Linked DNA regions of Callithrix jacchus. The protein of the gene in region 3 interacts with the protein of the main gene of each other region in a pairwise test. Links are inferred from orthologs where the notes say so. Each region holds a gene or a part of one and is shown on either strand. Other genes may lie near its edges.

Evidence for each region.
Region 1: the proteins of C2H5orf22 (region 3) and WBP11 interact in binary tests that used the Homo sapiens proteins (3 or more experiments, as listed by UniProt). The two-hybrid records come from large-scale screens. The link is inferred for Callithrix jacchus from reciprocal best matches to the Homo sapiens genes C5orf22 and WBP11.
Region 2: the proteins of C2H5orf22 (region 3) and ELOF1 interact in binary tests that used the Homo sapiens proteins (3 or more experiments, as listed by UniProt). The two-hybrid records come from large-scale screens. The link is inferred for Callithrix jacchus from reciprocal best matches to the Homo sapiens genes C5orf22 and ELOF1.

Annotation. Positions count from the first base shown.
Region 1 is NC_133510.1:8,521,774-8,531,941, reverse strand, and holds the start of WBP11 (WW domain-binding protein 11), read right to left. Parts: upstream 5,125-10,168; 5' UTR 5,091-5,124; exon of another isoform or gene 4,940-5,090; intron 4,909-4,939; exon of another isoform or gene 4,689-4,908; coding exon of another isoform or gene 4,445-4,688; intron 4,156-4,444; coding exon of another isoform or gene 3,988-4,155; intron 3,689-3,987; coding exon of another isoform or gene 3,678-3,688; exon of another isoform or gene 3,512-3,677; intron 3,064-3,511; 5' UTR 3,020-3,063; coding exon 2,956-3,019; exon of another isoform or gene 2,429-2,955; coding exon 2,397-2,428; intron 1,054-2,396; coding exon 960-1,053; intron 1-959. Other genes in the region: uncharacterized protein LOC144577829, read right to left, coding at 3,678-3,688, 3,988-4,155, 4,445-4,688; SMCO3 (single-pass membrane and coiled-coil domain-containing protein 3), read right to left, coding at 7,648-8,325. UniProt on the Homo sapiens protein: Activates pre-mRNA splicing. May inhibit PP1 phosphatase activity.
Region 2 is NC_133523.1:10,694,637-10,704,573, reverse strand, and holds the start of ELOF1 (transcription elongation factor 1 homolog), read left to right. Parts: upstream 1-3,414; 5' UTR 3,415-3,679; intron 3,680-8,670; 5' UTR 8,671-8,688; coding exon 8,689-8,804; intron 8,805-8,971; coding exon 8,972-9,042; intron 9,043-9,242; coding exon 9,243-9,307; 3' UTR 9,308-9,937. UniProt on the Homo sapiens protein: Factor involved in transcription-coupled nucleotide excision repair (TC-NER), a mechanism that rapidly removes RNA polymerase II-blocking lesions from the transcribed strand of active genes.
Region 3 is NC_133503.1:173,752,602-173,762,479, forward strand, and holds the start of C2H5orf22 (UPF0489 protein C5orf22 homolog), read right to left. Parts: upstream 5,256-9,878; 5' UTR 5,156-5,255; coding exon 5,075-5,155; intron 2,972-5,074; coding exon 2,826-2,971; intron 1,613-2,825; exon of another isoform or gene 517-1,612; coding exon of another isoform or gene 491-516; coding exon 341-490; intron 1-340. Other genes in the region: DROSHA (ribonuclease 3), read left to right, coding at 8,400-8,419.

The DNA.
Region 1 (10,168 bases), on a different chromosome or scaffold from region 3:
CATAATGCCATGACTGGATTTTTTGTACTCCATTTAATGTATCATTGAGGAGTTTCACTGCATCTCTTTTACTTACTACTCTGTTTTTGGACAAATCATAGAACTTGTAAAGATCACTTTAAAATACTATTTTAAAAAGATGACAAAGGGTAGAAGACAAAGTGGCAAAAATTTGCCAGGTGAAAAGCACATGGAAGTTAACTAGACTATTTTATTTTCTGCATGTTTGAAAATTTCTATTAAAAGAAACAAATAAAATATTCTGCATGCTCTAATATCAAACAGAAAGGGTATCTGTGGGTTAGGGTAAAGTTTCCCGCAGCGGCATCAATGATTCTCAAACTTGGATACAAAAAAACATAACATCCAGCCATTTCACGTGATTCCAGTTATATCAAAGCAGCGATACTTAAGATGCACATGGAGAGTGAATAAAATGATGCTATGGAATGTGAAAAAGGCAAAGAATCCTGGTATAGTATTTTATATATTTGGTTTTAGGTATTCGATGATTTTTTTCTACATCTTTGCTAAAAATTGGAAATTTTTGCTAAAAATTTGGATAAACTGGAAATGCCTTATATTCACAGTGGCCTGATACTTAGATTTACATGGTAGTTGCCAGCATTAAATAAAAGATGACAAACAAAAAACCCAAAGTTATTTCATAAACCAGATTCTTTTCCTGAAAAGCAAGCTGGCCAAACTGAGCTTCTGTTCTCTCATAGTAACAATTAGCTGAAAGCCAAATGACTGCTCCCCTCTCATTCTGGTATCTGGGGTCTCCAGTTTGCAACAGCCCTCTAGCACTCCATTTTGCCTCCCGAAACTAACATTAAATCCAAGCATCAAATGCTATTGCGCTGTTCTGTTTTACTTACGCCTATGCTGCTTCACTCATTACCTGTCTGCCTCTGTATGTACCAGACTGTTACAGCTGCCTGTTTGTAAATTCTTACCCATTTCATCCAATTTCTCCATGTCTCGGATAATCTGTTTTGGATCCTTCATCTTTAAAACGGCAGCTCGAACCATCATGCGCTGTTTTTTGTTCTTATAAAAATAAAAGAGGGGCAGAACGTCAACAAGTCAGACACTCATGAGTTTTATTTCAACTTGCTTTAAGAATCTAAACAGAATTTTGAACTCCTTGGCTTCTGATCACTTGTTTCAACCACCAGAAACAGCTATGTAATTTTTTTTGCTTTAAAAACGTTTAGACCTTTCAAAAAGATGAATGCTATTTTTAAGATGTGCTTTCTTAGGAAAGCATTTCTTTTAACTCTGTGAGATCTTTAGCAGTTACTTAAACACACATACATACTTTAAATTTCTTTTTTTTCTACCTCTTATTTTCTTAAAGACTTCGGGTGATTGTTCCTGCCCCCTGTTCTAAAACCTCTGCTAGCTGAATTCCAAAATTTTCTTTATCAAAAAAAAAAAAAAAAAAAAAAGCTCAAAGGTTTAAGTGCTGAAATTATATAAAGAATATTTCGGCTGGGTGCAGTGGCTCACACCTGCAATCTCAGCACTCTGGGAGGTTGAGGTGGGCAGACCAAAAGGTCATGAGTTCGAGACCAGCCTGCCAGTATGGTGAAACTCTGTCTCACTAAAAATACAAAAATTAGCCAGGCGTGGTGGCAGGTGCCTGTAGTCCCAGCTACCTGGGACGCTAAGGCAAGATAACTGCTTGAACCCAGGAGGCAGATGTTGCAATGAGCCGAGATTCCACCACTGCACTCCAGCCTGGGTGACAGAGCAAGAATTCGTCTCAAAAAAAAAAAAAAAAGATTTAAAAATTTTGCAGAATTTAATGCTAAACATGAAGACACAATTGAACATTATTTAAAATCTGTGTCGCTTCTATGTATTAAGGCACAATACTATAAAGCAAATTCTTTCTTATTCCGTTGAAGTACTTAGTCACAAATCCAACAGCTAAGAGGAAAATGCTAATTAGGAAAATGGATACATAAAGCTAATATAGCTATAAATATTAGAAACCAATATATATAGTTAAGCTAATGTAATATACATAATATACAGCTAATCAGGAAAATGGATATATAAAGCTGTCTAGCATCATATTTATTTCCATTCTCATCAGTAGGCTTTAAAAGTTATGTTTTAATAAATAACAAAAAAGAATGATTTTCAAAAGTATATAACTCATTGGGAAAAGTAGTCAAATATCATTATAACCTGTGTGAGCTTCTCTGCAAAGTTACTTCAGTTCCTTAGTAAATTTTGGCTTAGTTTATTTCACAGTTTTTATAAAAAGCATAAAGCATCTTTTCTCATAAAATTAGAAACGTTATTCTGAAACCCACTAATCCCAAATCACAAGATGTGCCAAACAATACTTAAAGTTTTACAAGACGCTTCTGAAATCATACCTTCTTTAATTCTCTCTTCCGGGCTTCCTTTCCTTTAAAAGAGAGGGAGATATAATAAAACTTTTGAATCTTGAACGTTAGCATTTCCTCCAATTTAATACAGGCAAGTCTTAACTGTGGGGAGTTATAGTATGCACTGTAAAATAGCAGCATCTTTGGCCTCTATTCACTACATGCCAATAGCATCCCTCAAATTACGACAAAAATGTGAAGACATTTTAAATGTTTCATAAAAAACAACTATGAGTCTGAAGGAAAAGGATAACATAAAATGCTAAACAAGGGCTTGCAAAACTAATTTGCTCAAAATTTCAAATACAAAGAGAAAGCTTTCAGCCAATTCTACTGTGCAAGTCAATCAAATTTGAAAAATATTGTTACTAATTTATTTATTTGCATGTTTAAAGTCTTAATCATGTGCCCATACAAACACTAAATATACAATTTACTCCTCTTATCACTGCTGGTCTTGCAATTAAGCCACAGGGAAAGAAACCCCCTAATATTTGCAATTTTTAACACCATCCTACTTCATCATTCCACACCAATGGCCACTTACGGGCTTGGTCTGTGGGGTTCATAAATTTTCCACTCTTGGTGGATGACGTAGATCTCCGTCCCATGTTGACAATCTATATGGTTTACTTGTTCATTAAAAAAGAAAAACCTGTGAAGGTGAAAACAAAGAAACAGCTTATATCTTCTATATTTATTTATTTCTTTTTCTAGTCCTTACTAATTTCTGAAAAGAAACATTCCTTTAATTATAAATTCTGTGAGACCGTTCTTTCCTTAGTTTTGACTTTAATGTCCACGAAAGATGGCATCAACTTTCTTGACCATGAAAATTTAGATCTCTATCATTCTTTAGAAATATGATGAATGTGAAGCCCACTTCGAATATGCTCAAGTCATCAGTTTAACCCTTTTTTATGGATCACAGCATTGACTATGTCAACTGATTAAAAAAAAAATTGAAAATGCGTTAACGGTATGACACAAACCATGAACATCAGAAGCCATTAGTCCTTCTACTATAACGTCCCTTTATTAACATATAATTGTAAAAGAAGAAGAAGGGAATGAGCGTATAAATCTGGGCTCAAAACAAATACCTCGCCCTTGCCTCTCTCCATGGTTTTTCTTGGCATGTATCCTGTACGTTCTCAACACCTCTAAAACAGTAAATTGTTGATATAAGCATATTTAATTCTCACTGATTTAAGCATATTTAATTCAGATTCGGTTCTAATTCGGACATAATTCTTGACGCTCAAGAGTTCAAAACACAACTGAAAATGCAAATATTTGAAATTAGTGCTATATTAAGAGGTCCCCACAACTTAAATACTAAGATATATATATTTTCTTACCAATATCTGGCTCCCAATATATATTTCTTAAGGTAATTAAAAATAATACTTATGTTTGAGGAAAAAATATTTTATAAGCTAAAACTTTTATTAACACAGTACAATCAATATTACATGACTTCTTCCTCTTATTTCAAAAGAATGGGGCTTAATTTTTTGAAGCCCAGTCTTTCCAGTAATAAAGGTGGACAAATTTGCTTCCTTTTCCAAGTAGGCACCTTTTAAAGGTAAGAAAGGGGAGATTTTGTCAGACGAGTTTATTAGAGTTAATTTCTCTTTCACCAAGTGTTCAACTGCCCCGATTTCCGCCAGATGTTTCAGAGCTGTTTTGCTGGCAATTACTTCAAGACGAAGGTGACAAAGGCTCTGATTTTCAGCTTTCTCATCTAAAAAATGGGGACATTAATTACTTTACAACAAAGCTCTGAGGATACAATGAGGTTACAAAAAAACACATCCTGTGATGTCTGACTCACTATTTAACTATAATCTTTATAATGGATCTACATTCCTGGCCCATATACCCTGTCAAGTGGTTTCCTTGTCAGAAAAACTGGGTGGTGGGAGAGTAGCAGGGAGCAGGACGTGGGGAAGGAGGAAAACAAGCAAAATCAGTACAAATACAAGCTTTGATTGGGTGCGTTTCCGTGCTCTCCTAAGGGTCCTCAGGCTCACGTTCTGAATCTCCTCCCCCACAAATGAAACACAACGAATTGCAGAGAATTTCACGGAAGATACTGGCGCTTAAGTCTGCACAGATTAGTTTTTCGTCTGCAAGCGGGGCCGACTGGGAAATCAGGCCAAATAACCGTTGCGGAACTCTAAATAGCCAAAGAGGCTTCAATGACATAGGGTCCAGGTTCACCAAAGGAGGCAAAAGCAGCAACTGCCGAAACCATAGCGACGGTTGACCGACCATGATTCCAGGTACGAGACGTGAAACCCAAGGCTACCAATCAACGTGCACAGGAAGCCGCCCCAACCGACCCGGGCGAAGCCAACCGCGTAACCGCTGGTCGTCGCGCCACCCCAGGCCCAGCAATACCCCAGTCCGCAACCGGAGACCCCACAGGAGGAGCGGGGCAGAGGGGCTGGGTGTCCCTGAAGCCGCTGCGCGGGCCGCAGAAGGGACCAAAGAGACAAGGAAAGAGTAGAAAAGCAATCCCATACACTCACACTTCTGCTGTGCTCCCAGGACTGCGAGAAGCGGGGAGGGAGCGATTCCCGGCCTCTTTTACCGGTAAGGGCCTTCAACTCAGCCCCTCGGTCAACACCTCAGCTACCGCCATCTTGAAACCTCGCGCCCCTCCGCAATCCTTACGTCATTTCCCGTTCCTCCGTCCAGCCTTCTCTCTGCGTAGCTCAGTCCCGGAACCATAGAGAATACCCGAGAATCCAGGACCAGAGTCGCTTCCGGCTCCATACAATACCCAATTGGTTGGTTATCGGCTAAGAGCCCGCCTCACTGCGAGTATCTAGTACAATAGGAATTAGAAGACGAAAACTGCTATCTGATTGGTTGACGATCCTGCCTCGAGTTGGAGGCGTTCTGACCTGATTGCTGGGATCTTAGTGCGTTGAGCTGTCAGAGAACCGTGCGTTCTGCAGATAGAGAAGTGTTCTGCGTTTTCTGTTTCATAGAATTACATTAGTTTTTGGATATTTATGTTTCCTATGATGCAGGCAGGTGCCATCCTCTAGGGGTGTTTCAGTTTGTGGACGAATACCCAGATAACATTTGCCACTGAGTTTAATCTGCTTTGTAAGCACCAGGTTATCCCATGTGGGCGCCTGGTACGTGTGGAAATTTAATAGGCAGGCAGAACAGAACATTCGTAGACCTGAACAAATAAATCGGCACCCTTGTTAGAGTCGCAAATTGCTTATACGGGCGGTGATTTATTATTTATTAGTATTGTTTTGAAGAGGAGATAGGGGCATACATATGCAGTCGGTTTTAAATTTATGCGTGGGGAAGTTGATCTATATTGGCTCTATTCCAGACTGGTCTTTTCATCAGCCAAAAGTCCTCTATGATGTCACTCTACGTACGGGATTTTCATCAGCCAAAAGTCCTCTATGATGTCACTCTACGTACGGGATTATTCACTTAACTCTAGGCTTCGTCCCTACCCTCTACTCCCTCTTTCCGTACCTTCTAGCCTCTCTTTCCCTGAGTCTACCCCCACTTATTTCCCTTAAAGGTAAGTTTAAACATTTAAAAAATTATCCTACAGGACACACTTAGTTATTTCTAACCTTAACCTGAGTATCCCATGTAGGAAGGCTATTCTTACCATCAGTTATAAATATTTCAAATGTTGGTGGGGATACATATTAATTTTTAGCAGAATCTTTAAACTGCCCTTAGCGGTGTAAGAGCATTCCTATCATTCCAATACCTAAACTTACCTTTGTGTTAGGAAATTCTTGATTTGACTTTAGACTGAATTTGAGTCTCAGAAAGCAATGACAAGATCTTACAGGTTAAAGCTGATAAACCAGGTAATACATTAAACAGAAAATAATCTTGAATGTTGAAGGTGAACTAAGTTGTAATGTTTTGCAGCTAGTGTTTTTTTCTTTCTCTGCACCATAGTAGTGGTCATAGTTTTGCAACTAGTTTTGAAAAACAATGCTAGAAAAGAAAGAGAAAACAAAGTGTATGTTGGAAATAGTAAAGTCAAGTAGCTAAAATTTTTCATCTAGCTAATATTTTTAATATATGCTGAGCAGTTTTTATTTCAATACATTTCTTGTACTTGGATGGGAGAATCAACTATAACAAACAGTCTGGCATCAACAGCATATTAATAATTTTGTCAGTATAGACTAAAAGAGTCCTCTTGGGAATTATTCATTGACAAAGGATTGAGAAAACAAACACATCTGCAGAGGTTCAGCTGAACCATTAGGCCTCCATGGACTTTGGCGCTTTCTGAAATTAGGTACTTAGTGACATGGCTCACCTAATATGTCATGTAGCAAAGGCAGCTGCCTCCTTTTTGCTAGTGTTGAAAATGAAACTATGTATTTTTTTTCTGAAAACTTATGTTATAATAAACTGTGATTTTCCTTTAAATGACAAATGCTTTAAAAGTACTGACCTTCTATTCTGCATCCTAAATGCATTTTATTCATGTGTAGCTGTGCTTAGCTTGCTTGTCTTTTAAATGTTTCAGTGTTTGAAAATTCACTTGAGCCATATTTAATCATCACAGTTGGTCAGGGTTGATTGCAGTTATAGAAACAGGACCTTTATGTTTTTAGTTTTGATTTTTACCATTTTAAAATCCATCCAGTTTACATTATGTAATTAGTAGATGTTTACAGATCTTCTTCCTGTCCTAATTGAAGCAAATTGTTACAAACTGTTTTTCAGTCTCTTCCAGTTTACAGAAAACCAGATTTACTCTGATGGTCAAAAATATGGTAGTGTTTCTGTCCCATTCAAAGGCCCACAATTTATTTCTAGGCAGAAGTTACTAAGTATGTCCCATTATAACTAAATCATGTTTGAAGCTGGTGATAGAAATGAGAGTCTCTGCCAATGTAAAATTTAAGAATTTTTATGAAATTAGAAAAGGAAAAAGTAACCCCTATACTTGCACTCTGTGATATCATTTACCCTGATGTTAATCTGGTAGAGCAGGGTGTGAAAACATCCAGGGATATGATTTCTTTTACCTCACAGGGTCTAGCACCAACTGATCCAGCCATTGTTGACTCAAAACTCATCTAGTCATCTAGTCTTGGCATCTCTAATTTCCCTCTCCAAGTCCATATTGGAAGCATCTAAAAAATGAACCTAATCAAAGAAACAAACATGTTACTGAAAAGGAAGCAGAAAAACATTCCAGTGCAGATAAAATGGCTGTTCATTTCATTTGCTGTTTCACTGTATTGGTGACCTCAGTAATAGCGTGATTATATTTTTCTGAGGCTGACTTGAACTCCACCAGATGCTTCTCATAACTTTTGATGGCTGCTTGAAGCTGTGTTCTTTCCACTGCTCCCAGGATGGCACGGACAATCATATCTATGCCAAGGCCAAGAACAGCAACTCCAATACTACCAAGGAGAGAAGCACCAATTTGTGCTAACACAGTGACCAACTTGTTAATGATGCCAGTGGTGACACTGGAGCCCACAAGTTTCACAGCGACTGCACTGGCTGCAGATGTAGCTTCTCCCAGAATGACTGAAATAACCTTTTGCACTATCGCAATTTTCTCTGTTTCTCTTTCCTTAATATCCTGAAGTTTTCTGTAGAGGGTTGGCTCTAGCTTATCTTTTAGTGCTTCATCCACCGTTTGCACTTCCTTTTGAATGTCCCTAATGGCTTGGATGACGATGTCGCAGTTTTCTTTGATAGTCCCGTCTCTTTTCATCTCAATGGAGGCCAGCCTGCACCCCAAGTGCACATTTAGAACCTCAGTCAGCTTATTGGTGACGTCGAAGCTGTCAGATAAGCAATCAAGGAGCTGCTGGTGAAGACGATTTACTTCCTGCCGCCTCTTTGGGTTCTCTGGATAGAGGAAGTCACTTTGGGCCATATTTCCAGTGTGATCGCTGAAAAATAAAATGGTACATTTTTACTCAAAGTCTTAAAAAATATCTGCTAACTGTGTAGAAGGGACTAGGAAATCTTTTTCATCATGAATAGCAAAGAAGCAATATGCTGTCTAAGGAGAATTCCTCAGAATGCTCAACAGGTTCTTTAAAACAGTTATTGTTAAGAAATTTGGAGTCGGTATGAAGAATGTAGGCAACAGAATACAACCCCTTTGATGCATACATTAAGGTATTAGATTTTGTGGTGGGAAATAAATTAAGGCATTAGATTTTGTGATGGTGGGAAATATTCATGTCTCTCAAGCATCTATTAATAAGCATGATTGTTTCCAGGTAATATTTAATAACATTTATTTGAAACACACCCCAATTTGAACTGCTTAGCTCTTGATTACTAGAGCTCCTTAGTTTCCCCAACCCCTACTCACCACATCGACCATGCCTACCAGACTGATTTCTCTAGCATTTGGAGTTAAATTGATAATCAGGGCCAGATGAATATTCATAACTATGAATTTACAGGGCTACTTTTTGTGTTTCAATATTTGGTGGTTTTAATTTAAAATACTCAAATCACTTTATATTTTTCTACAGGCAAATTATTTGTTTTCTAAACCTAAGGGATATCCAAAGGCAACATACATATTATGCTAGAATCTTTAAAAATTTTTTTGGGGATAAGAGTATATATTCAAGACTCTATGGATTAAAATTTCATGTGGGGAGAAGGTAGGCACTATACAAGGCACAATATTAATCAGAGATAAGCACATGGCTATCTTTGTGATTTTCCATTTGCAAAGCATATAAATTAAATTATTTAGAATGGTCTAAATAGTATTGCACCTGGGCATTATTTAGATAAGTTAGAGTTAATGTCAGAAAAAAAAAATGGCATTTTACAAAAGTATTAAAGAATAAGGGGGTAGGCACCGCGGCTCAGGCCTGTAATCCCAGCAGTTTGGGAGGCTAGGGCAGGTGGATAACTTGAGGCCGGGAGTTCAAGACCAGCCTGACCAACACAGAGAAACCCCAACTCTACTAAAGATACAAAAATTAGTGTGGTGGTGCAGGCCTGTTGCTGGAAGCTGAGGCAGGAGAATCACTTGAACCCAGAGGAGGAGGTTGCAGTGAGCCGAGCTCGTGCCACCGCACTCCAGCCTGGGTGACAGAGTGAGACTTTGTCTAAAAAAAAAGAAGTGGTGAGGGTACATCATAGAATTAATAAAATAAACTTGATAAAAGGCTTCAGCGTTTGTCCTTCTGACCTACGGTACCATTTAGAAACCACTAACAGTCATGCTCTTGTGTTTATTTGGATGAAAAACCTAAATTTGAGCCAATAAAATCACGATGCTATTCAATATGCATACTTTCAGTAGCCTTTCTATGTGGCTGGCACTTTTATTTTTTTTTTTTAAATTAAAACGTTGGGAGAAAAGAAAAAAAGTTCTCTATCCACATCCATGTGGAATCTGGCACAGTCTCTTTTTGAGTAAACAACATTGTAATTAATTTGGACCCTCTGTCTTGTGCACCAGGGTTCTTATTCTGCTTAAGGGGAACCTCAGAAGCATGGGATGAAGGAATGAAGATGTTTTTCTTTCAAGAAAGTAAACCTGAAAACAACCTATCCTCCAAATCGTACGAATATAATTTGGAAAAGGAAAAGGGAAAATTTTCTGAAATGGTTTGGAACATAAATAACCATGTATGTTATTAGATTTAGAAAAAATGCACTGGAACCTCCTGGTAAAATAAATCGCCATGGTCAGAAATTCATTTTTATCCTGAATTCAAATCCAGCACACATACACACATATA
Region 2 (9,937 bases), on a different chromosome or scaffold from region 3:
GATTGCTTGAGCCCAGGAGCTTGAGAACAGCCTGGGCAACAAGGCAAACCTTGTCTTTCTTTTTTCTTTTGAGACAGAGTTTTGCTCTTGTTGCCCAGGCTGGAGTGCAGTGGCACAATCTCAGCTCACTGCAACCTCCGCCTCCCAGGTTCAAGGGATTTTCCTGCTTCAGCCTCTCGAGTAGCTGAGATTACAGGTGTTCACCACCACACCTGGCTAATTTTTGTATTTTTAGTAGAAATGGGGTTTCACTATATTGGCCAGGTTGGTCTTGAACTCCTGACCTCAGGTGATCTACCCGCCTTGGCCTCCCAAAGTGATGGGATTGCAGGCACGAGCCACTGCGCCCAGCCTGGTGAAAATACAAAAATTAGCTGGGCGTGGCGGCGCACAGTTGTAATCGCAGCTACTTGGGAAGCTGACGTGGGAGAATCGCTTGAGCTTGGGAAATTGAGGCTGCAGTGAACCATGATGGTGCCACTGCACTCCAGTCTGGGTAACATAGTGAGACCCCATCTCAAAAGGAAATAAAAAAGAAACCACTGACATGGCCAACAACATGAGTTTCTTTTTTGTTTTCGTGTTTTGTTTTTTTGAGAAGGAGTCTGGCTCTGCCGCCCAGGCTGGAGTGCAGCAGTGCAATCTCGGCTCACTGAAACCTCTGCCTCCGGGGTTCAAGCGATTCTTCTGCTTCAGCCTCCTGAGTAGCTGGGATTACAGTTTGCGAGCCACCATGCCCGCATAATTTTTGTATTTTTAGTAAGGACAGGATTTCCCCATGTTGGCCATGTTGGTCTTGAACTCCTGACCTCAAATGATCCACTCATCTTGGACTCCTAAAGTGCTGGGAACATGAGTGAGTTTCAAACATCACATGCTGGGGAAAGAAGCCTCTCAATAGGCTACGCATTGTATGATTCAGCTTATATGACTTTCTGAAAAAGACAAAGTTATAGGAACCAAAACAAATCTGTTAGGGCCAGGGGCAGGAGTAGGGGACAGAGCATGAAAGGGCAAGAGAAAATTTCTTTTCTTTTTTTAAGATGGAGTCTTGATCTGTCACCCAGGCTGGAGTGCAGTGGCACAATCTCAGCTCACTGCAGCCTCCCTCTCCTGGGTTCAAGTGATTCTCCTGCCTCAGTCTCCGGAGTAGCTGGGACTACAGGCATGTATCACCACATCTCGCTAATTTTTGTATTTGTAGTAGAGACTACAAGGGCTTTCACCGTGTTGCCCAGGCTGGTCTCAAACTCCTGGCCTCGCGTGATTCGCACACCTTGGCCTCCCAAAGTGCTGGGATTGCAAGTATGAGTCACCATGCTCGGCCACTGGTAAGAGGAAATGTCTTAGGGTGATGGAAATAATCGTCTTGATTGTGGTCATGTTTTAATGATATACCTGTATGTCAAAACATGCAATTTCAGCCAGGCATAGTTTAAATATGATCAGTTTGTGTTCAGTGAATTACATTGTAACAAAGCTCAGAAGGAGGGAAGTAAGAGAGGGAAGGGACAAAAGGAGAGAAAAAGAGAAAACTTATATGGCAATCATAAACAAAATGAAAGATATATACACCCTGTGACTCAGAAATGTCTTTTTTTTTTTTTTGAGACAGAGTTTTGCTCTTACTGCCCAGGCTGGAGTGCAATGGTACGATCTCAGCTCACTGCAACTTCTGTCTACCAGGTTCAAGCAATTCTCCTGTCTCAGCCTCCCAAGTAGCTGGGACTACAGGCATGTGCCACCACACCAGGCTAATTTTTATATTTTTAGTAGAGAGGGGGTTTCACCATGTTGATCAGACTGGTCTTGAACTCCTGACCTCAGGTGATCCACCCAACTCGGCCTCCCAAAGTTCTGGGATTACAAGTGTGAACCACCGCACCAAGCCATCATTTATTTTTATTTTATTTTTAGAGACAGGGTTTCACTATGTTGCCCAGGCTAGCCTCAAACTCGTGGGCTCAAGCAATCCTCCCACCTTGGCCTCCCAAAATGCTGGGATTACAGGCGTGAGACACTGTACCCACAAGTATCATTTTTTGAAAACTATGCCTCACTAAAGATCCAGTCCCAGTCCTAAGAATTTTGATCCAGAGACTAACTGCATCATCATAGTGGCAAAACTCAGGAAGGTCCAGGAATTGTCCAGCAGTAGGATAACAGTTGATTTTATACTACGGCAAAGTTGCACTATGAATCGTGTAGCTAATAAAAACGGGAGTTAGGTATACGTGTATAGACGGTTAAGTGGAAACAGCAAGTTGCACGGTAGCTGTATGATTCCATCCTGTGTGGATTCTAGTTCGTGCCAGCACTGAAAAAGGGTCTCACAGGAGGGCAGGTATACTGGTTACACTTGACAGTTCCCAGGGTATCACTGCCCCCTAGGGGACATCCTAGAGATCGCGCTACAGACAGTCCTTGATTTGACGGTTTTAAGATTTTTCAACTTTATTATGATAGTTTTATCGGGATGTAATCCCATCGTAAGTCAAGGAGCATCTGTATTTGAAATACATTTCATTACAAATTATCTTCCTGAACACTCTAATGCAACAGCTCTTATCAAGGTCCCCAGAGACCTTGCCAAATTCAACTGTCAATTCTTTTTCCTCATTTTAACTCAGGGACACATGACACAGCTAACCACCACCCCCCCCATCTTGAAATATGTTCTTCAGGTCGGGCGTGGTGGTAATCCCAGAAATTTGGAAGGCCAAGGCGGATGTATAACTTAGGAGTTCGAGACCAGCCTGGACAACATGATGAAACCCCATCTCTACTAAAAATACAACAATTAGCTAGGCATGGTGGTAAGCACCTGTAATCCATCTTGGTGACAGAGCAAAACCCCGTTTCAGGAAAAATAATAAACAATAAACGTCCTTAGCACGGCCCACGAGGCCCCATGGAATCTGGTCCCAGCCTGTCCATTCAACCTCATCTATTACAATCTGGGCACTAAAAATGTGGTCTGCTGACCAGCAGCGTGGAAGTCACCTGGGAACGAGTTTGAAATGTAGCCTCTCAGGCCTCCCTCTTCATCTGCTGGATCAGAACCTGAATTTTAAAAAGGCCCGCAGATAGATGCTCGTTAGAGTTTAAGTAGAGCGTCTTACAACCTTACAAGCTTCCCCTTCACCCTGATTCGGTCATAAGGACATTTCATATTCCTCACTTTTTGCTCCTGCGAACTGACCAGAAGAACCTGCCTTGCACGCAGCTACAGATAAATACGCTCCGGCTTTTGCGCAGGCGTACTACGACTACCGGCTCGCTCCTATTTGAATACGCGTGCGCTCAGAGCCCCGGCGACAAAGGCGGGGCCTATTTGCTGGGCAGTCCCGGCCGGGGGTGGGCGGGACCTGAAAGGAGGAGAGGGGTTTCCGCTTCCGGCAGAAGTCGGAAGTCACTGTCTCCCGGGTAAACGGAGCTTTTGCAGCGAGGCAAGCTGAGTGCTGGTGCTGATCGTGCAGGTGGGCGTTGGGGCCGGGCAGGACTGGGAGTTCTTCTACTCCGGGAGTTTACGGGGTCCTGGAGGAGGCGTCTGGGACCCCGGGCTTGTGGGGAGGCAGGTCGGGGAGACTGACTCCCCCCGACCCCATCCTTCCAAGAGCGACCTACCGGGGCGCCTGGCTCCTCCCGGCGGCCGTCGGGAGGCGATGCCGAAGACTCGGTGAGTCTGTAGGAATAGCCAACCCCCTACCTCTTGGGTCTCAGCAGATTCGAGGATGACTTCTTTGCCATCCCCTTTTGGCGCGCTTGGACTTAACGTTGTCACCGGACAGGCCGAAGCCTCTGCAATCCTTATGCAAGCCAGACCCCATTCATGGGGTGGGGGGGACTGTAGTCCCTGGGCAAAATGAGATTCTGGGGCTCATACATAGATTTTATTTGGACTTTTTTTTTCTTGAGACAGAGTCTTGCTGTGTCGCCCAGGCTGGAGTACAGTGGCGCGATCATAGCTAACTGCATCCTCGACCTCCTGGGCCCAAGCTTCCCACTTCAGCTTCCCGAGAGTAGCTGGGACTACAGGCTCGTGGCTAATTTTTGTAATTTTGTAGAGATGAGGGGCCTCACTATGTTGCTCAGGCTCGTCTCCCACTCCTGGCTTTAAGTGATCTTCCCACTCTGGCCTCCCAAATTGATGAGATTACAGTCCTCACCTCCCAAAGTGATAGAGTTACAGGCATGAGCCACCACATCCGGCTTTTTGTAGATTCAGATTCCAGGGACTGATTGATTGGGTTATTCAATAATAGTTATTGCCGGGCACGGTGGCTCATGCTTGTAATGCCAGCACTTTGGGAGGCCGAGGTGGGAGGATCGCTTGAATCTGTGAGTTCCAGACCAGCCTGGTCAACACGATGGGTTCCCTGTCTCTCCAAAAAATACAAAACTTAGCTGGGCATGATGCTGCAGCTAATTTGTATTTCAGAGATAGAGGGGTAGGGGGAGGATCACATAAGGGATGTGTGAGAGAGAAAGGGATTGACGATGAATCCAAAGTCTTTGATTTGATTATCCAGAAAGATGGAGTTGCTGTTAGCTGAGATGAGGAAGACTGTGGAAGAGCACGTTGCGGTGTCAGCGGCTTGGTTTTGGACATGTTATGTTTAATATTGGGTGGAAGTTAGACATCAGGGTGGAGCTGTGGCTGAGGCAGACAGATCAGAGTCTGCAAATCAGGGGACAGACTCAAGGCTGGAGAAGCCAGTATCCTCAGTGTAAAGTAGGCATGAAGCCCTAAGACTGGGAGAAATCTTCATGAAGGTGAGTATAGCCAGAGAGGAGAGGATTCAGCGATTCAACTCCTGGATTCTCTCTCTCTTTTTTTTTTTTTTGAGATGGAGGAGTCTCACTCTGTCACCCAGTCTGGAGTGCAGTGGCACAATCTCGGCTCACTGCAACCTCTGCCTCCCGGGTTCAAGGGATTCTCCTGCATCAGCCTCCTGAGTAGCTGGGATTACAGGCGTGCACCACTACACCGGGCTAATTTTTGTATTTTTAGTAGAGATGGGGTTTCATCATGTTGATTAGGCTGGTCCTGGACTCCTGACCTTGTGATCCACCCACCTCAGCCTCCCAAAGTGCTGGGATTGCAGGCATGAGCCACTGCGATGAACCTTTTGTTTTGTTTTGTGTTTGAGATGGAGTCTCACTCTGTTGCCCAGGCTGGAGTGTAGTGGCATGATCTTGGCTCACTGCAACCTCCACCTCCCAGATTAAAGCGATTCTTCTGCCTCAGTCTCTCTAGTAGCTGGGATTACAGGCATGTGCCACCATGCCCAGCTAATTTTTGTTTGTTTGTTTTTTAAAAGACCGTGTGGTCAGGCTGGTCTTGAACTCTCGACCTCATGTGATCCGCCCACCTTGGCCTTCAAAGTGCTTGGATTACAGGTGTGAGCCACCGTGCCCCGCCAAGTTTTGTATTTTCAGTAGAAATGGGGTTTCACCATGTTGACCAGCCTGGTCTCCAGTTCCTGACCTTAAGGGATCCACCTGCCTCTGCCTCCCAAAGTATTGGGATTACAGTCCTGAGCCACTGTGCTGACCTTTTTTTGTTTGTTCTTTTTTAAAGTTGGAATCTCACTGTCACCCAGGCTGGAGTGCAGTGGCATGATCTCAGCTCACTGCAACCTCTGCCCTCTGGGTTCAAGTGATTCTCTTGCTTCAGCCTCCAGAGTAGCTGGGACTACAGGCATTCACCACCACACCCAGCTAATTTTTGTATTTTTAGCAGAACGAGATTTCACCATGTTGGCCAGGCTGGTCTCCAACTCCTAACCTCAAGTGATCTGCTCACCTTGGCCTCCCAAGGTGCTGGTATTACAGATGTGAGCCACCGGACCTGGCCCAAACTCATGTGCTCTCTTCATGAGAGCAAGTTGGCAGAGAGGCAGGAGCATAGGAGATTAACAGGAGCCACCAGTGAGGCAGGGGATAGGGAACATTTGGGGTCCTGAGAGGCACGTGAGAAAGGTGGGAGGAGGGACCCCTGGAATGGGAGGACTGCCATTGGGATGGGCAGTATGGAGCCACCTCAGTTTGGAGGCAAGGGGTGTAGAGAGATGGGAGGGAGTGCAGATGGCTCTACGATAAAACAGCCTGCAGAGAATGGATCATAGCTGGAAGAGGATAAAGAGATTTTTTCCCCCCTTTTTAAATGAGGAGAGAGGTAATAACAAGCATGTGAGTGATCTGGTAGAGCTGGAAAATTTGATGGTGCTCAAAGAAAAGGGGATGGGAGCCAGGGCAGAGTGAACAAATTGTTTTTGCAGAAACATACTTCCATAGTAAAGGAGGCATGCCGAAGCCGGGCGTGGTGGTGCACGCTTGTTGTCCTAGCTACCCAGCAGGCTGAGGCCAGAGGATTGAGGCTTCAGCAAGCTGTGATCACACCACTGCACTCCAGCCTGGAAGTTAGGAGTTGGAGACCAGCTTGGCTTTGTTGATCTTGTCCAACAGAGTGAGACCTCATCTCTTAAATAAAGAGGAAAGGTGAATAGCTGAATGAATTGGTCCTAGGAGCTGTCTTTGGATTGCTTTTCTTTACTCAGTGAATTGGCAGCATCACAGTTAAGAGCTGGGGATGTTACATAGGAAGCAATCACCAGATAATGAATAAAACTCCCGTTTATTGTGGAAGATCCTGGCAGGCTGCTGACCTCCCCTGTCACGGAGAAACGAATGATGCTAGAACCAGCAGTTGTGTATGTGTGGGGTGTGTGTGTTTTGGAGGAGGCGCCACCATAGGAGGCTCAGGGATGGCAAACACAGTGCCTGAACACCGTGCCTAGCAGGGCAGTTGGTTCATTGGTAACCACTGCTGTTTCCCCACCCACCTGCCTCCTGGACTTCTCTTCCTAGATATCCCTCTGCCACCCAACCTCATCATTTTCTCCAAAACCCTGTCCTTCCTATGTGTTAGACATCAGAGAATGTTGTCAGCTTCTCCCGCTACCCATTGTGTCCCCACCACAACCTTGGGAGTCATCCTGGACTCTCCTCTCGTCACACTCGCTCGTTCCGCCCATGTCTCTTCTGTCTCTCTCACCCACTGCCATCTCTACCTCAACAGCCCTGTCCTGGCTGTGCCTAAATCCCTCAAATGCACAGGTGACTTTGTCCTTTCCACTCCTTGTAGCTCCCAGGATCCATCCAAACACCCAGAACCCTCCCACCTGCCCCTCCTCCATCCCCCACCTGCCAGGGGACAGACACCTGCCCCTGAGCTTTCACACAGTTTTCCTGTACTCGGAGGTGCCTGTCCCCACCTCTCTGCCCTGCAGTCTGTCATCTGGATGGAGGTTATCAGATGCCCTGAGTGTCACTTCTCCTGGATGCCACTTGCATTTCCCTTGACAAGAGGAGCAACCAGAATAAAATCACCAGCTCTGGGCGTGGTGGCACGCACCTGTAATCCCGGCTACTCAGGAGGCAGGAGAATCACTTGAACCCGGGAGGCAGAGGTTGCAGTGAGTCAAGATTGTGCCACTGCAGTCCAGCCTGGCAACAGAGTGAGACTCCGTCTCAGCCAGGCGCAGTGGCTCACTCCTGTAATCCAAACACTTAGGGAGGCTGAGGCAGGCAGATCACCTGAGGTCAGGAGTTCGAGACCGGCCTGACCAACATGGAGAAAACCCATCTCTACTAAAAATACAAAATTAGCTGGGCGTGGTGGTACATGCCTGTACTCCCAGCTACTTGGGAGGCTGAGGCAAGAGAATCACTTGAATCCGGGAGGGGAGGTTGTGGTGGCTGAGATTGTGCCATTGCACTCCAGCCTGGGCATCAAGAGCGAAACTGTCTCAAAAAAAATTTTTTTTTAAATCACTAGCTCCTAGGCACTTAGGCTGTGCCCAGTCCTGAACAACTGGCTTGTCTTGGAGTCTCTTGTGCCATCCTTGCCAGGAACAGTGGCTTCCTTGTTTTGGTGCCAGAGTGATGGGCCAGCTCTGTGCTAAGTACTTAACTTACTATTCCTGGTGTCAGCCCCACAAGTCTCCTCTGAGATGGCAGCATTGTTTCGATTTTTTTCTTTCTTTCTTTCTTTCTTTTTTTTCTTTGATACAGGTTTTCACCCTGTTGCCCAAGCTGGAGTGCAATACCTGGATGGTAGCTCACTGAAACCTGGACCTCCTGGGCTCAAGTGATCTTCCCATCTCAGCCTCCCAAGTGGCTGGGGCTACGGTGTACACTACCACACCTGGCTTATTTAAAAATTTTTTTTTTTAAGAGATGGGGCCTCACTGTGTTGCCCAGGCTGGTGTCAAACTCCTGGCATCAAGTGATCCTCTCACCTTGGCTTCCCAAAGTGCTGGCTGGGATTACAGGTGTGAGCCGCCATGCCTGGCCTTGTCTCTATTTTATAGACTAGGAAACTATGGCACAGAGAGTTTAAATAACCTGCCCAGGTCACGCAGTAAGTGAGAGAGATGGGGTTAGAACCTCCTATCACCCCTTCCATCCAGAGTGGGATGGGGGATTGTCCTGTACCAGGACTGCGGGCCTCATCCCTCAAGGGCAGAGGCCCCAGCACCATGGTGGAAGCCCCTCCTTCACATTGGGCCGCTGCTAGACCCTCTTCCCGGCCTGCTTTCTAGAGCATTGAGCTGGGGAACTGTATGGGTTCCCCAAGCCACTGACACCTGCCACTCCCTACAGGCTCATCCACCTGCAGACATGGGTCGCAGAAAGTCAAAACGAAAGCCGCCTCCCAAAAAGAAGATGACAGGCACCCTTGAGACCCAGTTCACCTGCCCCTTCTGCAACCACGAGAAGTCTTGTGACGTGAAAATGTGAGTGGTGAATGGGGCAAGGAATCCTGCCTCATGGGGTGCCCAGGCGTCCCACTCCCTTCTCCCCACCGTCCTCCATTCTGCCTCTCTCCTCCCTTGGTGGAGGCGTCATCACCCACAGGCTCAGGGCACATTGCTAACCAGTCCCTTCTATTCGTCTGTTTCAGGGACCGTGCCCGCAATACCGGAGTCATCTCTTGTACTGTGTGCCTAGAGGAATTCCAGACGCCCATAACGTGTATCCTTGGAAACCTGGGTTTTTTCCAGAGGGTGGGGAGGGGTTGGAGTCCAGACCCTGCTCCTCTGGCCCAACCGTCGGCCCTAGTGCAGGGCCAAGGCCATCCAGAGGAACGGGTGCCACCTCCTGATTTATGTGGGGTGAGAAGGTACAGGGCAGGGGCCCAATGCAACTGATGGCCCTTGACTTAAGCGGCACAGATCTGTCAGAACCTGTGGACGTGTACAGCGATTGGATAGACGCCTGCGAGGCAGCCAATCAGTAGCAACACAGAGGACCCGCCCCCTGGGCAGCCCCACCTGCTGTAGACCCAGCTGCTCGCGGGTCCAGAGACATTCCAGAGGTCCAGGGTGTGGGTCCTGGACTGTGGCAGCCCTCTTTGTGTGTGGGAGTGGGTGTGGCGTGGCTGTGGGTGTGAGTGTGGCTGCACTTGTCACTGTGGGGTGGCCGTGAGTGTGTGTTCATAGGCACACGGTGGTGTCCAGGGGTTCCTGGGCCTGAGGGGCCTGAACTGACCTCACTTGGCTCCAAAAGCCTTTGCTGTGTTCCCTTCTTCAACCCCTGGCCCCCCAGCTTTGGCACCGTGGCTCCCCCCACTGGAAGTGGGGGACTGTTTCCTGATATCCTGGATGGGGAAGCCCAGTAGAGGCTGGAACGGAACCTCTCCAGCCTCCTCACCAGCACTGTGCCCATCTGAACTGGACTTCCCACCCTCCTTCTCCACCTTCTAGTGCCCGTGGCCTGGGATTCAAAGCCACCGTTCCCTAGGTCCCCAGGCTGGGCCCTGACAGGGAGCTGCTTCCCTACCCCCATGATAACCAGGAAGCTGTGTTTCATGTTCAGTTGCTTTTGCAGAGGAGGCAAGGGCTGGGATGGGGACAGCTGTCAATCATAA
Region 3 (9,878 bases):
TTAATTCAGCAGACAACAGTTACATTGAGCGATACACTACTGAATATATAAATCTGTAAGATACTTCAATGGCTTAAGGAGTTTATCACCAATGAAGCCCAAATTCCCGAGGATAAAGATCACATTCAAAATCTAATTAGACCAGCAGCTACATATAAATGGTATATGAAGAACATCAAGAGACTTAAAAGTTTGTTTTTGGTGTTTTGAGAACTCTTCGGAGAAGTTGAGGCTTAATCTGACCCTATTTGTGGGCAGAGACTTAGGAAGTTATTATAGGAATCTAAAATAAGATAGAAACATTCAATAACTTCCATATTCACAAATATGAGGAAATTACCTGATTGTTGTGGTAGAAGTGTCTTTGCCTACTAAAAACTGGTGTCTGCCCTCTCTGATTTGCTGAGCCCATGTGGGATGAAACCATATTACATGTGAAAAATGGCCTGCATAAACCGCGGGCATAATCCAATTTTCAATACTTAATTCTCTGGAAAAGAAATAGAAAGACAACATTAAAACTTTTAGTTTTTTTTTTTTTTCCCCAAGTGTAATTTCATCCACAATATTTTAAGACCACAGGTATCAAAGTGTGGTCCCTTGGTGGTTCCTGAGGCTTTTTCTGGGACATCACTATGACAAAACTATTTTCATAAAAGTACTGACGTATTGCTGGGTGCAGTGACTCCTGCCTCTAATCCCAGCACTTTGGGAGGCTGAGGTCGGCAGATCACAAGGTCAGGAGTTCGAGACCAGTCTGGCCAACATGGTGAAACCCTGTCTGTACTAAAAATACAGGAGTTCAAGACCAGTCTGGCCAACATGGTGAAAACTCATCTCTACTAAAAATACAAAAATTAGCCAGGTGTGGTGGTGGGTGCCTGTAATCCCAGCTACTCGGGAGGCTGAGGCAGGAGAATCGCTTGAACCCGGGAGGTGGAGGGTTGCAGTGAGCCGAGACCATGCCACCACTGCACTCCAGGCTGAGTGACAGAGAGACTCCATCTCAAAAAAAAAAAAAAAAAAGTACTTGGAAGACAGTGTGGCAATTCCTCAAGGACCTAGAAAAAGAAATTCCATTTGACCCAGCAATCCCATTATTGGGTATATATCCAAAGGATTATAAATCGTTCTACTATAAGGACACATGCACATGAATGTTCATTGCAGCACTATTTACAATAGCAAAGACCTGGAACCAACCCAAATGCCCATCGATGATAGACTGGACAGGGAAGATATGGCATATATACATCATGGAATACTATGCAGCCATCAAAAATGATGAGTTTGTGTCCTTTGTAGGGACATGGATGAACCTGAAAACCATCATTCTCAGCAAACTGACACAAGAACAGAAAATCACGCACCGCATGTTCTCACTCATAGGTGGGTGTTGAACAATGAGAACACATGGACACAGGGAGGGGAGCATCACACACTGGGGTCTATTGGGGGAAATAGGGGAGGGACAGTGGGGGGTGGGGAGTTGGGGAGAGACAGCATGGGGAGAAATGCCAGATATAGGTGATGGGGAGGAAGGCAGCACATCACACTGCTATGTGTGTACTTATGCAACAATCTTCCATGTTCTTCACATGTACCCCAAAACCTAAAATGCAATTAAAATAAAAAAAGACCAAATCAAGGCCAAAGGAAATGAATTTAAAAAAAAGTACTAAGGTATTATTTCCTGTTTTCATTTATTGACATTTGCAAAGATGGTACAAAGGCAATGGTGGGTTGATGTTCCAACATTAATTAAGGCAGCAACACCAAACTGTTAGTAGTTACTGTATTTTTCATTACCAACCACCAGCATAATAAATAGATAAATAAAAAAGTTTCATTTGAGAATATCTCAATTTTATTAACTTTCCACCCTAAGTATACATTTTTAAATATTCTGTGTGGCAAATTCAGAAATGCACTGAAAGCTCTTCTGCTATACAGTTTGAAGCATAACAGCTGTCTTAAGGAAGAGCACTTGTGACTGAACTTCGAGCTGGGCACCATTTATCTTGAAAGGATTGATCAATAAACTATGGTTATTCACACTTGACACTGAATTGCTGAATTCCACATTTCAGCTAAGCTTTCATAAACTACTACCTGTCAAGTTTTCTTGTACTATCAGACTATTATCTGAAAAGGCTATGAAAATACTCTTTCCTTTTCCAATTACATGTCTGTGAAAGCCTGAATTTTCAGCATATATTTCAATCAAAACAACATATGGCAATGAACTAAATGCAGAAATTGACATGAGAATCCAATGGTGTCTGTAATGTTTTAGCAAATATTAAACATTGGCCAGGCTGTTTTTGTAAACAAAGTTTTTTTTTTGTTTGTTTGTTTCTTTTAAGAGATGGGGTGTGGTGTGGTTACGTTGCTCAGTCTGTAGTGCAGAGGCTATGCACAGGCTTGATTACAGCCTGGAACTGCTGGCCTCCAAGTGATCCTCCCACCCTAGCCTCCTGAGTAGCTGGGACTACAGACTCATCCACCATGCCCAGATTGTAAATAAAGTTTTATTGGAACACAGCCGCTGTCATTTATTCACACAGTGCCTCTGATTGCTTTCATACTACAAAGGCAAAGATAGGTAGTGGCAACAGAGACCATATGGCCAGCAAACCTAAAACATTTACTAATTTGGCTCTTTAAGAAAGTTGTCAACACTTGTTCTAAATAAAATGAAAAAGACAAAAAGAAATGAAAACTCCCCAAACCCATAAGGTTAGCAAAGTCTATTTGCTATAATTGCTTATTATCTGTGAATTGTACTTCAAACACAAAAGACCATGAATAAAATCACTGATTACCCGAAGAGTGTTTCCTTATCAAACACGGTGTCTGCTGGCATATTCACAGGAATAAGGAGGTCTGGATGTGAATCAAAATGTAAAAACCTTATATTACTGGCAGGAAGATGCTTTGAGCCAATGGCCCTATATATAAAGGGTAGAACCTGTAAATGACAGAGGCATACAATCAGAATTAATACTGAAACCATGAGCACATACCCCGCTGCAGACTGAAAAACAATGCTAAACAGTGTACATATCGAAAGCATACTATGTTGTGAAAAAGTGGAAAAAGAGAGCCAGGTGCAGTGGCTCACGCCTGTAATCCCAGCTCTTTGGGAGGCTGAGGCAGGTGGATTGCCTGAGGTCAGAAGTTCGAGAGCAGCCTGGCCAACTTAGTGAAACCCCGTTTCTATTAAAAATACAAAAAAATTAGCTCGGTGTGGTGGCGGGTGCCTGTAATCCCAGCTACTAGAGAGGCTGAGGCAGGAGAATCACTTGAACCTGGGAGGTGGAGCTTGCACTGAGCTGAGATCATGCCATTGCACTCCAGCCTGGGCAACAGGAGCAAAACTCTGTCTCAAAAAAAAAAAAGTGGAAAAAGATAAAAATTTGTTTCTTGTAAATGGTGCAGATGATAATCTCAAATATTACTTTGTCCTCAGAACTTTCAATTTGCACCTCCAGCTACCTTCCTGCTGCCACCTTGAACTCAACAGGTCATGAGGGGAAACAGACCAGGACTGGGGCTCAGGAACAAACTATGGCTTAATGCCTGTTCTAACATTAATGAGGTGTTCAAGGTACCCTAGGTCTCAAAGTTTTATTTATTTATTTATTTTCTTTAAAAAGAGGTAGAGTTTTACTCTGTTGTCCAGCCTAGAGAGCAGTGATGTGGTCATGGCTCACTGTAGTCTTGGACTCCTGGGCTCACGAGATCCTCCCACCTCAGTCTCCTGAGTAGCTGGGATTACAGGCACATGCCACTATATGCAGCTATTTCTTTCACTTCAGTTTTTGTAGAGGTGGGGTTTCGCTCTGCTGTCCAGGCTGGTTAGGGTCTTTCTGGTACCCTGAGAATGGTGGGGTTGGGCTAGGTGGTCTGTAAAGGCCATTTCTCCTCTTCCATCTTCTCTAGTTTTAGGTTTAATACCTAATTTGAAAGCACTGTCTAACCCAGGCTTTCTCATTCTCTCAAGGTCATAGACATTATATCTAGGTCCTGAGAAACCTATCTTCCTCTCCTATTAATTTTCGCCGTCAGTAAATCCTTCTTTTTTAACATCCAGAGAACCGCTTCACATCCCCAAGCTTACTGATGCTACTTTAAAACAAATTTGTTAGATCCATGGGCCTCCTTTGTTGACTTGGAAAAGTCTAGATTAAGACACCAATTTAGCTACTGTAAAGCAGCCCGGCCATAAACATGGAAACCCTTTTTAGTATTTATATATGCAGGCACCGTGTTAAGTTTTTTTTTTTTTTTTTTTTTTTAAAACAATACGGGCCGGGCGTGGTAGCTCACGCCTTAATCCCAGCACTTTGGGAGGCCGACCTCAGGTCAGATGTTCAGACCAGCCTGGCTAACATGGCAAAGCCATGTCTCTACTAAAGATACAAAAATTAGGCGGGCATGGTGGCGGGAGTCTGTAGTCCCAGTTACTCAAAAGGCTGAGGCAGGAGAATCGCCTGAACCCGGGAGGCGGTGGCTGCAGTGAGCTGAGATCACGCCATTGTACTCCAGCCTGGGCAACAGAGAAAGACTCCGTCTCAAAAAAAAAAAAAACAAAAAAACTTTTTAAACACAATATGTACACAATAATACTCCTAACGTGAGTCCTATGATTGCTGTCCCCATTTCAGATCAGAGCCCAGGTTCCAAGCATAAAGCCTCCCATCTAAACAGCACGGCTGTGATGGCGATGCCAGGAGACATTTGGAAGCCAGAGTTAACTGCAGGTTAAGGACACGGGGCTCTGTAGCCAGACCGTCCGGGTTCGAGTCCCGACCCTACCAGTGGTTTGGTCCTGGGATTTGGGGCAAACCGAGGTAAATACATTGCCCCGACCCGTAGGAAGCGCACAGAAACGTTAGTTCCTATTCTTCCTAGTTAGCTGTTTTAGTGTCTTTCCCCAAGCAACGTAATCGGGCAGTTTAACTCTGGCTAACTCTCAGGCCTCCGAGGCTAAGGCTACGCTGTCTGCTTGGTCCTCGGAGCGTCAGGGCGTCGCCGACTCTGCCCCAGAGCCCGGTCGCCGTCCGCTCACCTCCTGATGATCCTCCACCACCCATACAGGGAGCTTCGGGTAACGTCGGAGGCCAGTGGGCCATCCGGCGGTGTCACTCATGTTTTTGCGCCCGTCAGCTTTGCAGCAAAGCCGTGGCAGCTGGAAAGGACCCGGGAAGGCAGGCGCCTCAGTCCGGCTTCCCCTCTCCCGGCGGAAGCACGCCTTCCCCCGGTTGCGTTTTTGGATTGGAGGATTTAGGAGGAGGGAGGGCAGGCTCCAAAGGGTCTTTTACTGACTATTGGTGTAGACGTCCATCGCTCTCTTTGACGTGTCCAATCACCGCGTACAAGGCCCTGCGGTGGGCAGAAGCGTTTTTCTTCCCTTGGCCCAGCTTTCTCAGATTTGCTTTTTAATTCCCTCGGTTTCCTGTTCCGGAGGCTCGAGCGGCGCCAGGGTCTTGGTGCCTGCAGTAGTAGCCTGGCTTTGCTCTGACGGGGATCTCGCGGCCTGAGAGCCTTTTATAGGTAAAAGGGGTACTTTGCAAGTGTTAAAAGACAGTTTCCGAGTGTCAGAATTTAAACGGGGCTGGAGTCTCTGGGGCTGGGGTGAAAGGCGTCCGGTAATTGGGGTCGGGCAGCCCCATTTCCGATCTGCAGCTAAGGGCAAAAGAACGACCCTAGGCCTGGATTCCGCAAATAAATGGAAGTGAAAAAGGAGACCTTTCATTCATTTGCGGAGTACACGCTGTGGTCCAGGCCTGGGGCCGCCCGGCTCTCGGAGGGGAGCGAGATCCTGAGCTCAGCGCCTGTCTAGTGGGGCGCAAGGTCTGGCGGGAGATGCAAACACTAAGCATGCAGTTACAGAGCAGGATGAAGGTGACTGCCCTGCAGATCCACCTGGGGAAAGAGGGAGGTCTCAATACAAGTGTAGTCACACTTTACAACTCTTTTACATGTACTGACGTTCCTGGCCGTGTTAACTATTCAAGACGGCTCCCTCAGTGTCTCTGCTTTCAAACAGCAACTGAGAAGAGACGGAGAAAACAGTTACTTTTCCAGGTGCAGTGAATTCCTTGACTTTGGAAGTAAAGTTTGCATTCACAACACAGCCGGATTGTGCCTTTAATAGGTCAATTTCATGATTAGTATTTTTAGATTTTCTAACTACAAAAACATCCACAAGGATCTGGTAGTGAATGTTCAGCTGTTGTTACGCACTGTAAAAGAGTGTTTATGACCCTGACTTTTGCCCGCCTCTAGGTTCAGCATACATCTTTGTGTTCCCTAAGACCTGCACATATCTCCTTTTTGTGTTTATTGCATTATTTGTATTTAAAAAAAAACTTATTTGTATGTGGGTTCTGAGTTCCTTGAACCCTACAGGCTGTATGTCTTTCTTATCTCTGAGTCTGCAGGGCCTGGGACAGTGCTTCCCATATATGGGCTCATTAAATGTCACCTGAATCAGTGAAAAGGTCTGCTTTCTGTTGTGGAGGTACATGGAAGGGAAATGTACAGTAGCAACATGGAAACATACTAATGGTGAGACAGTAAACATTTATTGACCACCTACAGTGTGAAGGATGCTTTTCCCGAAGGATATGGGATACAGACATGACTGAATCAACCCATGTCATCAAGGAACTTATAATCTAGTGGAGGAGTTAGACATTTGCATACTTCACCATGATGTGAGGCAGCCTCTGGTAAGTGCAGTGAATGAATTAAGTATAGAGGGAATAGGATTACTTAAGGGAATCAGGAAGGGCTTCATAGAGGAGGTGGCATTTGAGATTGGTAGATGGATGGAAATTCATTGGACAAATTCCTAGGTGGGAGATTTTTTTTTTTTTTTTTTTGATGGAGCTTCTCTCCTGTTGCCCAGGCTGGAGTGCAATGGTGTGATCTGAGCTCACTGCAACCTCCGCCTAGGGTGGGAGATTTTAGAGAGGAGAATGGGAGGAAAGAACTAGGTGGTTCTTTGTACTTGTATGGTAATCAGTTGGGAAAATGTGGGGTAGTAGGCTCTTTCAGGAGGTACCGGAGAACAAGCCTGGGTTCAGAGTCTCAAGGGTCTTAAATGCCAGCACAGAGTTTGAACTTGATTCTGTTGTCAGTGAGTAGCCTATGGTGGCAGGAGCTGTCTGGGCCCCAGGTTTATCATGAGGGTATGGGACTGGATCATAATCAGGAGTTGGGCCTGTAGTTCTAGCTATTTTGGAGGCTGAGGTGGGAAGATTGCCTGAGCCCAGGAGTAAGAGACAGCAGTAAGCTATGACTGTACCACTGCACTCCAGCCTAGGGACAGAGTAAGACTCTGTCTCTAAAAAAAAAAAAATCAGATATTATTTGGTGCCCATTATTTATTAAGCACAGTGATTGATAACATAATCTGAAATTATTTTCATGAGCCATTCGAAAGTCTACACAGTAAAGTTCTATTGGTGAGACTTTTAGTTAGAAAGACTTTAGGAGTATGTTTCTATGTTAAAGCTTTTTGTACTCAATATTTATGAGTTTGTTTGGATGTTTTGCTGAAGTTCAAGTATTTGGAAAATCATTCATGTTTACAATGTTTTTCTGTGGGAGGAACTGAGAATGAAAATCAAGAATCGTAACTGTTGTGTTAACAAGATTATGGTTATGTTTGAATTGGAATGCTGGCCTCACTGTGATGTTTGTGTTTGGTCTATGCCTACATGTTTTTACCAAGAAGGAAACTAGAATATGAAGAGGGAGAGGGGAAATGATTTTTTTTCCCCTCGTCTTTTAACAAAGTAGAGATGATCTATGCCTATGATTTAAGTCTTTTGAGCTGGTGATAGTTTTGAGTCAGCAAAACTAGTAATAAGGACATTTTATTTTATTTTATTTATTTATTTTTTGCTCTTGTTGCCCAGGCTGGAGTGCAATGGTATGATCTCAGCTCACTGCAACCTCTGTCTCCTGGGTTCAAGCTATTCTCTTGCCTCAGCCTCCTGAGTAGCTGGGATTACAGGCATGTGCCACCATGCCTGGCTACTTTTGTATTTTTAGTAGAGACAGGGTTTCTCCATGTTGCTTAGGCTAGACTCGAACTCCTGACCTCAGGTGATCTGCCTGCCTCAGCCTCCCAAAGTGCTAAGGACATTTTAAAATTTAAGGACATTTAAAAATGTAGTTGGAAACTTTAATGCAGTTCAACACGCTTTTAATTTTGTTAGTAGGCTAAGTGTATTGGAAACTGCAGAATCAGTGTTATGGTAATTGCGGAAGTACTTTTTAGCATTGGCAGTTGGGGAAACATGTTTATGTCGGTTTCATTCTTTCTGTTTTTTACAGCTCATATTCTCTGTAGAAGATGTGACATATCCAGGCAGTGCATCATGATGCAAGGCAGTACATGGTGAGTGTTGTGATGGGAATGGCAGTAGTTAGGAGAACAGAGAGAGGAACAAACATTGGTGCTGGCCTATAGAGGGTGGAAAGGATTTAGATACTTGGGGAGACAGGATAATATGCCCGTTCTTTCAGCAGTGGGCACAGTACAACAGAGGGCCATGCACAGGGCTAGAAAGCCAGACCAGAACTGTTAATGGAAATCCCAGAGCCTGCCTTGATAGCCCTTACAGTTCTGAGGTGCAGTAGACATTAAAGGTGGAATTAGGTCCTTAGTAGGTGGATTGTAATTATTGTAGGACCTGCTAAGAAGCAACAGAGAGTGTTGTGAGAACAAGGAACCTAACGAATCGTTGGGGGCAGTGACAGGGTTGTAGAAAGGCCAGCAAGGATATTATTGTAATAGTTATGCAAGAGATGATGATGTGAAGTAGATTAATTCAGGAAGTATTTATGAAGCAGAAACAATAGGAATTTTTGTTTATTTTTTATTAAGGGATAGTTGCCATATAAGTGATAGCAATTTTAAAATAAAATTTTAGCTAAGGATGGGGGGTGAGGGAGGACAAGTCAGGTGATTGATTCCCTGGTATATGTCTTAAGAACCATTAATGGTGTCATTTATTGAAATAGGAAATACTAGGAAAAGAGCAAATGTTTGTCTTGGAGGGAAAGGTAATTAATTTGTTTTAGCATATGTTATGTTGAATTTGCAGAGTCAGTGAGACACTCAAGGAGAGAGATCAGGTTGGCAATTAGTAGTGAGGGTCTGGAGCTCAGAAGTTGGGGGCTAAAGATGTAACTTTGGGAGTTACTGACAGATTGGTGGTAATTCTAGCAATGTGGGTAGGTAGTGTCACTTTGGAAGAGAGAGCGAGCAGAGCACCTGGGCTAGACCCCTGAAGAATACCAGACTGTTAAAGGCCCCCTAGCAGAGGAGAAGCTGGCATGAGGAACAGCCAGAGATGTAGGAAAGCCACAGTGAGGGTGTTATGTCAGGAAGCCAAGAAATGCATCCATGGGGGTGGGGGCTGGAGAGGCAAGCGGGGAGGAAACTGGACTGATCCAACAGAGATCAAGCAAGTTGATTGAAAATGACCTTTGGTTTTCAAGACGAGGTGAACACTGATCATGACACTCATTGGATTGGTGGCAGAAGCTGAAGTTGGATTAGAGTGAGTTGGAAGTGTATACGCTTTTGTCTTAGCTTGGGCTGCCATGACTAAATGCCATGGACTGGGTAACTTAAGCAGTAAACACTTATTTCTCACAGTTCTGGAGGCTGGCAGTCCAAGATCAGGGTGCCCGCACAGCCAGGTTTCGGATGCACGCCCTCTTCCTGCCTTGTAGGTGGCTGCCTTCTTGTTGTAGTCTCACTTGGCAAGGGGTGGTGGCGGGGATTTCTTTTCTCTTCCTCTCTCTGTAAGGGTACTAATCGCATCATAGTTGCATCTCAGATTTCCCAC